Linked DNA regions of Caenorhabditis elegans. The protein of the gene in region 2 purifies or fractionates together with the protein of the main gene of each other region. This does not show direct contact. Each region holds a gene or a part of one and is shown on either strand. Other genes may lie near its edges.

Evidence for each region. The genes of interacting proteins can lie anywhere in the genome.
Region 1: the proteins of znfx-1 (region 2) and glh-1 purify together in Caenorhabditis elegans (affinity purification with western blotting, with the first as the bait; one study listed by BioGRID). This does not show direct contact.

The regions. Positions count from the first base shown.
Region 1 is NC_003279.8:6,852,434-6,858,072, reverse strand, and holds glh-1 (ATP-dependent RNA helicase glh-1), read right to left. Parts: upstream 3,596-5,639; 5' UTR 3,262-3,595; coding exon 3,222-3,261; intron 3,165-3,221; coding exon 2,730-3,164; intron 2,687-2,729; coding exon 2,612-2,686; intron 2,564-2,611; coding exon 1,313-2,563; intron 1,265-1,312; coding exon 1,161-1,264; intron 1,115-1,160; coding exon 933-1,114; intron 885-932; coding exon 680-884; 3' UTR 537-679; downstream 1-536. Other genes in the region: sacy-1 (RNA helicase), read right to left, coding at 4,009-4,128, 4,176-4,372, 4,417-4,664, 4,727-4,845, 4,975-5,148, 5,197-5,269, 5,315-5,451, 5,569-5,639. UniProt on the Caenorhabditis elegans protein: Probable ATP-binding RNA helicase. May act redundantly with the P-granule component glh-4 to regulate the formation of the granular structure of P-granules in embryos. Plays a role in positively regulating the localization of pgl-1 to P-granules.
Region 2 is NC_003280.10:9,211,909-9,216,872, forward strand, and holds the start of znfx-1 (NFX1-type zinc finger-containing protein 1 homolog), read left to right. Parts: upstream 1-1,793; coding exon 1,794-1,960; intron 1,961-2,007; coding exon 2,008-2,213; intron 2,214-2,262; coding exon 2,263-2,377; intron 2,378-2,421; coding exon 2,422-2,508; intron 2,509-2,558; coding exon 2,559-2,654; intron 2,655-3,304; coding exon 3,305-3,743; intron 3,744-3,854; coding exon 3,855-4,175; intron 4,176-4,221; coding exon 4,222-4,944; intron 4,945-4,964. Other genes in the region: ZK1067.4 (Transmembrane protein 151 homolog), read left to right, coding at 263-413, 495-890, 934-1,116. UniProt on the Caenorhabditis elegans protein: Epigenetic inheritance factor which, in association with the Argonaute protein wago-4, mediates small RNA-directed transgenerational epigenetic inheritance and thus balances the transgenerational inheritance of epigenetic information.

The DNA of each region.
Region 1 (5,639 bases), on a different chromosome or scaffold from region 2:
CATTTTCGCAAAAAATTGTATGTTACAGTACCCCTCTCGCAGTGGGACCCCACCACGTGCTACTGAGAATACACCTTACTACAGTATTACTAAAAATATATTTGAAGAAATTGATAGACAAGCACACAGGAAATGCCACAGCGAAACAGAAACTAAGCATCATCTCTTCCTCTTTTCCCTAATACTCTTCTTCTCAAACTCTATTTCCTGATTGTGATCACTGAGCAAACCGTAAATGGAATGGCAAAGCCAACAGAAAAAATACGGGAGCAAAAAAGCAGGTGAGAGGAAAGCGAAAAAACGAATGTAAATCGACCGGAAATGAGCGAGTGAGAGAAGAGCAAAAAAGAAAATAAATAAAGAATTGAGCCTAAAGTTTCTGTATGCGGAAAAATGCTCGCCGCGGAGAATCGGAAAACAAATTATTGAAGTTGATTAGCTGAGAGAGCAATGTGATATGAGATCATATTGCCTAGTTTGCTTGTTAAAATTCTTTTCATTTAATATGCAACTAATAGTTGAAGTCGTGAACAGCATGATATTGAACAGAGTTTATGCGGCGAGGACTATAACGACAACCAACACCAACAAATACAATTAAAAATCAACAAGGGCAGGATAAAATATGGGGGAACTGACAGCATTAATAAATGCGAAACACTATCAATTGGTCGGTTTTCTACCAGCCTTCTTCATCTTGAGGGACTTGAGTTGGTACACTGGACCCAAATCCACTAGCTCCGTAATTGCCTCCAGCAGCACCTTGCATCCAGTCTGGAACAATCTGTTGTGCGTCGGCGAGAACACCAACAAGTTCGGACAGAAGACTGCAATCCTCCGAGATGAAGCTTGTAGCTCTTCCAGAGTTTCCAACTCTTCCAGTTCTGAAAACAATGCTTGCATTATTGAAACATTAATAAAATATAACTGACCTTCCGATACGATGGATATAGTCATCAATGTTGTCTGGCATGTCATAGTTGATGACATGATCCACTCCTTTGATATCAAGTCCACGTTCAGCGACCGCAGTAGCAATAAGAACAGGTTTCGATCCATTTCGGAATTGTCTCAAAGCTTCTGAACGCTCTCTCTGCTCACGGGCACCATGGATCTGTACATTTTGAATTAAAAAGCGGTCAAAAATGAAATATACCAACCGTGATAGCTGGAACTTGAGCCGATGACAAAATTGAAGCCAGTGTATCAGCCATTGCTCTTTGAGAAACGAAGACCATGGTTTTCTTTGTGTAAACTTCGGCACCTGAAATATTGAAATTTATTTCATCAAATAAGAAAACGAAAAACTCACTTTTCTCGGTCGTGTAACTGTCGATATCGATTCCCAGAAGCTCTAGAAGTTTGTCCTTCTTCTCGCTTCTTTCGCATCTCTCGAATTCCTGTAGGACGCACTTGTTTGCAGCTCCAATCTTGTCGATTGCAATCATCACGTAGTTTTCTCTGAGAAAAGCGCGAGCTGCTTCCTGTACAGAATCGGGGAAAGTGGCACTGAACATGAGTGTCTGGCGATTTTCTTTCCTCGGCATACTGTCATAATTGACAATAGTTTCGATGTCAGTTCCGAATCCCATAGCATCGATCATACGATCAGCCTCGTCAAGAACAAAGAAGCGGCATTTGTCAAGCTTGATGGTACCCTCTTCACAGAAGTGCTTGATTCTTCCGACAGTTCCGACAATGATCGTGGCTCCCTTTTCGATCTGACCCTTATTATAACCGACAGCCAATCCTCCGTAAACTGGTTTGATCTCCATCATTGTTTGATAAGCAAACTTTCTTCCCTCGTTGTAAATTTGATCAGCGAGTTCGCGAGTTGGAGTCAAGATGATGCAACGGGGATAGCAACCGCCTTCTCCGGCAGTGTTCAGATTATTATCGTCAATGAGACGAGTCATGATAGGCAGAAGGAATGCAGCGGTTTTTCCTGATCCAGTTTGAGCACAAGCCATGATATCATATCCCTGATGAACAAGTGGAAGAGCATATTGCTGAATTGGAGTGGTCTTGGAGTATCCAGCATGAGCAACGTTTTTCTGCATGGTCTCCGTGAGATTAGCTTCCGCGAATGTCTTGCAAGGTTTGATACCGACAGTCTTCTCGGATGAAGTCAGTTTAACTTCGGCATCGAAAAACTTGTTGAACATAAGGCCTTCCGAAATTTTCTGCATGTTGAAAACGTCCTCCATGTTGTCTTCGACTGGCACGTATGTCGCCTTAGGTCCTTCTCCTTCAACACCTTCCCTTGGCTTGGCTGGATTGGGGCACTCATTCGAGCGATGACCTTGCTCGCCACAATTGAAACATCCACGGGGTGGCTCCGGACATTCAGCAGAGCGATGTCCCTCGCCTTTACAGTTGAAACATTTCATTGGACCACGTTCTTCGCCTCCACCAAAACCACCGTCCCCACCGAAACCGTCATTTCCTCCATTGTTTCCAAATCCAGCTCCGCCCCCGAATCCACCAGTGCGACCCTCACGCGGCTTGCGTTCTTCTGTACATTCACGAGAGGTGTGCCCGGGTTGCTGGCAATTGTAGCACACTGAAAATAAAACAAATTACTGCCAATAAAGTTATATCAAAATAAAACCTCTCGGCTCTCTTTCCTTTCTCGGCTCTGGACAGTCACTCGATCGATGTCCTGGCTGTTGGCAATTGAAACAATCTGAAACAAACGTAATTATATAAAGTCAATTTAAAAAACGAACTATTGTTTCTCTCTCCGCCGCCATGTCCTCCTTCCCCAAAACCAGAGTTGCCACCTCCAAAGGATCCTCCTCCACTTCCGAATCCAGTTGCACTACCTCCAAAGCCACCTGATCCTCCAAATGCACTTGATTTTTCACCGCTTCCAAATCCAGATGTGGCAGTACTACCACCGAATCCAGAACTGGCTCCTCCATACGGCGATCCTCCTGTACTGCCTCCACCGAAGCCGGATCCACAAGTATTTCCACCTCCAAATCCAGAACCGCCAGTCTTTCCTCCACCGAATCCAGATCCGCCAGTGTTTCCTCCACCGAATCCAGATCCGCCAGTGTTTCCTCCACCGAATCCAGTACCTCCATTTTTACCACCACCAAACCCAGATCCTCCATTGTTACCACCACCGAAACCGCCTCCACTACCGAATCCAGTTTTGGCTGAAATAAAGTTTTTAATCAAAATAAAACCGGTGGAAAGTTCAAAATAAAACTCACCCTTAGCAGCACTTTCGCTATCACTCCAACCATCAGACATTTTCGCAGAAAATTAAGATTTTTCCAGAAAATTGAGTTGAAAACAGCAAAAAGAATTAGGAACTGTCCCAAAATTTAGTAGATGAGTGTGTCGAGGTTACTGTAGTTGGGGCGCGTGGCGAAACCTAAACGGTGTGAAAGTCTGTGTTCCTTTAAAGAATCGACTCTTTAAGAGGCACCACGGTTTCAAGATCTGATGGGATTCCGGATCTACGTTTTCCGGATCTACCATTTCCGGATCTACGTTTTCCGGATCTACGTTTTCCGGATCTACGTTTTCCGGATCTGGCACCGTGCCAACGCACAAAACGCTTTTCAACGCACGACTTTTTTCGAAATTTTCTTCTAGAAGAAACGCTTAACAACACGCGACGCGTAACATCGGAGCGTCGTTGTCACTTTTTTCTTCGAAAAAATAGCGTTTTAAGAGTTTGCACGGTGCCAGATCCGGAAAACGTAGATCCGGAAAACGTAGATCCGGAAATGGTAGATCCGGAAAACGTAGATCCGGACTCCCATCAGATCTTGAAACCGTGGTGTCTCCTTTAAAAAAAAGAATTTTGAGAATGCATTTAATTCATTTTTCTTTTTCAATGAACTCGATCAATTAATTATTTTCATGTTTTCTCGGAAATCCAGACTTTTTTTAAACATGAAATAAATAGTACAATTCTGACAAATATTTTTATAAATGTAAACAAGAAAACAGTAAATAAATAGATTGAGATACAATGTATGAATAAAATAATCAGAAACCACCATCGTCGCCTCCACCTCTTGCCAATGCTTGCGTCGTTTTGTTTCCGATTCCAGCGAGTTTTGGACAATCTGTGATGCGATGACCCAGACCGGAGCAGTATGCGCATCCCTGAAAACATGTTGAACTTCCCGATTTTCTAAATGTTTTCTAACTACCTTTTCCGCATTTGTGCCAGCTGGAGCAGTTCCCTCCTCGTCACCAGCCAACATTTTGAGAAATTCTGGAAGTTCCTGCCCTGCTTCTGCGAGTAATTGTTTCAAGTCGGAAAGCACTGACATCTCCGATTTTTTGTTGATAAATGTCGTTGCGAGACCTTTCCGTCCGGAACGTCCGGTACGACCAATTCGATGAACTGAAAATAAAAATTCAATTATGAAAAATAAATAAGAAATTCACCATAGTTCTCAATATCTTCAGGCATGTCAAAATTGATAACATGTTCAATTCCTTGGAAATCGAGTCCTTTTGATGCAACATCTGTTGCCACAAGTACATCTTTCTCATTTTTTCGGAATGCCTCAATTCCAGCATGACGGTCACTTTGATCTTTTCCTCCGTGAATTGAAGCAACTTCAACTCCTTTTACAAGCAAGTACTCGTAGATATTGTCAACGTCAACTTTCTTTTCGGCAAAAATCAAAACTCTGAAATATAAAACCGTTGCCATATTTCTAAATTAATTATTTTCTGATAAATAAAATCTTACTTGGGAGAAGTCTTTTGAAGGCATTCAAGTACACGAACCAATTTGTTTTCTGATCGAACAAACTCAAGCTCCTGGAGTACGTTCAATGAAGCAGCACCCGCACGTCCAACATTTACGACCTAAAATATTTATAATTTACAGACAAACTCCTGAAAAATTATTCTTTAAGAATTGAAGAATGACAACTTTTGGGAGTAGGTTAAAAAATTATATTTTTGAAACTTCTCGATTGCATAAATAAAACTTACAATAGGTTTGACCAGTGCTGATTTTGCGAAAAATTGAATCTTTCGTGGCATCGTAGCCGAGAAAAGGAGAGTTTGCCGTTGAGCTTTGAAGAAATAGAAAATTGATTTAATTTCATCTTCAAATCCCATATCAAGCATTCGATCAGCTTCATCTAGAACTAAGTAACGGCAAACCTGTAATAAATTGAAGCAATTTTTGAAATCTTTGAAGTTATGTCTTACTTCTAAATTTATAATTTTCTTGGTAAGCATATCAGATAGTCGTCCTGGTGTCGCAACAACAATATGAATACCACTGAAAATAATGAAAATCATAAAATTCGAAATTCTAATCACTCACTCTCTAACGTCTTTAGCTTGTTCGCCAATTGGGACTCCTCCAATACATAATCCAGCTCTCATTTCTGGAAGTCCAGCTTTTCCAAGAGCATCAAACATTTCAATGATCAGGTCAAAGATTTGACGAGCCAATTCTCTCTGAAAAGTATATTTCAAAATTAAAAACGGAATTATTGACGGATTTTGCTAAAGTTTTTTTAACAACAGAAATTGTTTGAACTCAAGTTTATACGATTTTGAATTTAAAAAGAATACCGATGGAACAATAATCAATCCAAATGGTCCTTCACTACGCATAAATGGAAGTTTCATCTCTTGCTCCAAAC
Region 2 (4,964 bases):
GAGAAAAGACCTGGCGGGAACAGAAAGTGTCAGTCATATAGAGCATTTTCATATGCGAAGTGTATAAAATTTATATTTCTACAAGAAGTTGCCTAAAATAGCCACAAAAATAGTGTTTTCGAATTTTCTTCAATAAAGGGATGTGGCTCAAAAACGTTGAGTTCCATCAATCATTAGGCATTTGGCAGGAAGAAAAGATTAGCTACAGCAAAAAAAGATAGAAAAGTAGTATAAGTATTTATTTTTCAAATACATTTTCCAGTCCGAATTCGGTCAACTACACGGGGCCATTAACCAGAACATCAACTATGGATACTGTTGAGTTGGAGGCATTGTTGAGGAGAGAACAACATTTCGTTGTACCATCGTACAGTGAAGTTATGCTCATGCAAAATACGATTGCTAATTCAAATGTAAGGTTTTTTTTAAATATTAAAATTTTAAGATCATTTGCTCCTGATAAATATTTATTAATCGCTCTGATAATATTGTAGACCAATTATCCAAATATTCGATGCCTGGACCCTGTGATTCTTCCACGACCATTCGTGAGTACAACTAACGAACATATCGTACTTCGGAACTATGGAGCAACAGAAACCGACAATTCACTATCTGAGCCCATTACAGCAACGCCGAGACCTCTTAGAGTTAGCCGAAGTATGACATTTGCTGCTCAAGGAAATCTCGAAGAATCAGCTGAGAATCTGAGTTGTTTAGAAAACGGAAGTAGAGCAAATCGTGCTATTCCATCGAGTCGGCGGAATTTGCCGTTACGTTCGTTATCGATAGGTGGTATTTCTGCTTGGTCCAATGGTTACAGAGAAATTGGAAATCCTGATGATTCACAACTACTCATTGAACCAGATGAACCACCTCCACCATATGAGGTCGGTTTTCAATTTATAATGGAAATGACAATTTATTTCTCAGGTTGCTCTCAGAATGTGTGCTCCATTATATGAACGCCTACGACGATCAATATCTTCACGATTGGCTTCAATTTCTCACTCGAGCTCGAAGGATTTGAAGTCGCTAACTTTGAAAAGTAGTTCTAGTAACAATAATAACAATAATTCAAACAACAATAATAACGATGATCCAGAACATCCATAAAATCGGGTATTTTTTCACATGCGGACCAATTTTAAGAATTGTTAAACGTTGGTGCTTGAAATAAATAATTTTTCTGATTTTTTTTTATTTTCAAGTTTAAAAAAATTGTGTTTCAAGTTATTCGATTAAAAGCGTTGTTTTTATTGCCTTATTAAATGGTAAAAAGCAATCAATTTTTAAAGGAGCGTCCACTGAATACGAGGAGATGGTCTCGGCACGAAATATAAAAAACTACAGTACCCTTGGAAGTATTGGCGCGGAAATTTTTTTTTATTCAGTTATTTATCTGTTCAGTTTTCGTATTTTTGATGTTAAAACTCCATTTTTCTCTTCAAAATTTGTATTAAAAATCACTGGGCAACGCATTTTCACTATTACAGAAGTATTTTTGATGAAATCTTCAAGAAATTCACATGTTTCTTTGTTTAAAATTTTAGGATTTGACGGTTTCGGTTTTTAGGCCAAAAAACTCCGTTACCAGTTTTAATTTCGTTCTGATTCCGTGAGGCAATGCTTCACTAATCACATTTTTCACGAAATACAAAGTCTTGCTTGAAAATTTAACAAAAAACTCCAATACTCTCGCAAAATCTTGAATATGGCCATTTTATTTGATGTAATTATTTCTTTTACAGATAAATACTTCAAACCAACCAATCCATCTATCTGACAAGCTAATGTCCAGAGATAAACCACCTCAACGTGAGGTTGGCGGACGTCGGTTGCCCTACGAAATGGGTTCGTTGAAGTTCGACGAAGACCCGTTCCGCGGACAGCGCCGGCGTCCGTGGATGTGCTTCAGAATCGGCTATCCGACAAGCGAGTTCTCATCAGAGCACTTCATGTACGTTCAAATTATTCAAAAATTATTGAAAAAACGTATTGTTTCAGGAAATTCGTGAAAAGGTGTCACACTTCGATGATAGAAGTAGGTATTCTTCTCGATGATGAACGGGAATTCCTGCAATATCAAGAAGTCAGGGAAGATTATCTTCTTCTGAAAAAGCTCATCGAGGAAGGTCTGCAGAAGTGTGAAACGATCTATGAAAAAGGACCGCTGTCGACTCCGGTTGTTTTTTTCATTTTAGACCAGTGCGGTAAGAAAAGTAAATTATACATAACGTGTATAAATATTCACTCATACAGACGAAGACGAAGTCCAAAACATGCTGGATATGTTTAGGGAGTCTTGTTATATCTTCCATATGAAACGCAACGAAATTCTCAACTGGATCAACGAAATGGAGTATGAAGAACTGGAGTGAGTAAATGTTCAGCATAACGTCGAAAAAATTCATATTTCAGAAGTGACTGCTCTAAATTTGCACAGTTCATCAAAGGAGTGGAAAATCTGACGGAATCCATCGCGATGCCCATGGAGGTAGAAACAGAGTAGGCTATCTAGAAGGAAAAAATAATTAAAAAACATCTAACTTTCATAGAGAATTCATCTTTGGAAAGAGTTCGATTGTATCGACCGAAGACTTTGTTGAAGACGCCCCTCACAAGCAGATCGCACAAGATCAACGCGAAACAAGGTATCGTTACCATGTTGTAAACTTTCTATTCAAAAATTTTGCAATATCTCTTCGTTCATATTAGACTTATGGCCTAGCTATTTCTTTCTTTTTCCACACGTCCAACATAGATAGACAGTTCGAGACGTAGAGAAAAACAGAAAAACCGTGACTAGTTGCTTCCCCTGTGATTGATATGCTTTTTTTTCACAAATTCGAAAAAAATAATCTGAATAAGCATGTTTTCACATCAGAATTTGTTAAACAGTGTGTTTGGAAATACTGAAATATTCCCTTGACTCGCAGGATTTAACGAATAATTATTTCAAAATTTTCGATTGTTTTTCTCAATAACATCAATAATTTTTCCTGAATTCCTGATATTGCTTTTAAAAATATATAATAGAATTGGTGACCTTTGTTAAATCATTGATAATCGCAGTGGCTTTTGTTTTTATTCTCGTTTCATAAACAACGTGAATCGTGGTAGCGGAAAAAAAACCACATTTATCGTGTTCCCATCTTTCCCCAGAAACCTGGCCGCGTTCCTTTTCACTGTAGTAAACGCGGATTTTTGTGGGCATACTGATTTCGTTAGAAAATACTTTTTCTTAAAATGCTAGAGCTCTCCGCGTTCTCTCATAATGTATAATTAAATTATCTTGTTTCAGACCAATTCGCCAACCGTATTCAATGGTCAGAAACCTCGCCCCCCCAGGGCTCCCGCCGCCTGGAATTTCGATTTCAAACAGTTCGCCTCCTGGATTATCTTCAGTTTCGCCAATTCCCCGAGCAGATACACGCGAATCCCGTTATTCCACCCCTCAACCACCCGGATTGTCAATTCCAGCACCACCTGGAATATCTCTTCCAACTCCACCAGGAATATCTCTTCAAAATCATCAGAATGATCAATTCGAGCAAGCTCATAGTACCATTTCGAGAATGAGCGAGAATAGTTCATCTTCGAGGCGTCGATTCCGCGATGAAGAAGTTCAGGAAGAAGAAGGAGATCATATTCTATCGTCTGAAGATGTACATGCTGCGCGGAACGTGTGTGAAACCAAAATCCTTGTTAGAGGAGTTCCGCAAAAGAACGATTCTGAGTTGGTAAGATCTATTCATTTTTGTGATAAACTGCAACCTGTGAGTTATTTCGGCAATTTCCGGAAAACTAATCTTCAATAAACACGAAATTAATATTAAAATTTTAATTTTCAGTCCAAGCTCATCAACGGATCAAAACTATACGTACGGTTCGAACGTCCGTTTGTAAAACTAGCTCACAATCTAGAACTTCTCTACGTTGTCAATTATGCTATCAGTTCTCGAAAAAGTATTGTTCGGGATCACAGTAAAGCAATTATTCGCGGATTGTTCGAAAAGGATTTTCTACTGAAGCTCAAAAGTAAATTCCTGGAAAGCTCGTTTGACAATGACACGTGGACTCCCGAGGGTACAGAATTGCTATTCGAAATCTTTCATTTGTTTTTCACAACGGCTCGATACAAGGGTGGATTCATGCTGACACTTCCGAGATTTGTAAGTTGAAATAAACTGAAAATTTTAAAAGTAAACATTATTATAGGCGCCGTCTTGGCATGATTTCTCGATGGCTTTCGATATTGCTGACATGGATGGACTTGAGGAAGCTGGTGTGGGTGATGATGAGCTTAGAAATCTTAGGAGGCTGATTGGTTACATTGAAACATGGATCAAACGGGCAGAACGGGAACGAAACCCCAGTCCATTGGCGCTGCGGTCATATTCAGTGTACGAAAAAGCTGGTTCTTCTGACAGTGGACGCCAAGTTTTATCTGAAAGTCGAGGTGCAGGTTCCAGCAATGTTTATGGTCATGACGAGGTGGATTTCGTCGATCACAGACGCAGAGACGAGTTCGGACATCGTGATAACTACCGGACAGAAAACCGTCGCCATAAAAGCCCGGACAATTTTGGAGAAGTTCACAGAAGGCTCGATGAGCAACAACAACAACGACATGAGGATGAATCATCAAGATATCGCGATGACTCGAGACAGTCTCGACGAGCAGATGATAGAAGAGATCAATATCAGTACAACGAATCAACATCTATGGAAAATCACTTGGGGTTTCACAACGGCGGTGGCACCGTCAGTGAGCACTCACGAGATGATAAATTCGTTTCGCCTCAAAATTGTGAAGAAAAACGCAAATATTGCGAAGAGGACACAGATGCGAAACCACAACAACCATATCGCTTTGAGGAGATAAAATTCGAACCAATTTGGGTGAAATGTGAAAAATCAGAACCGCCAGAGGATTTTAAGGTAAAAAAGTGCAAGCTATC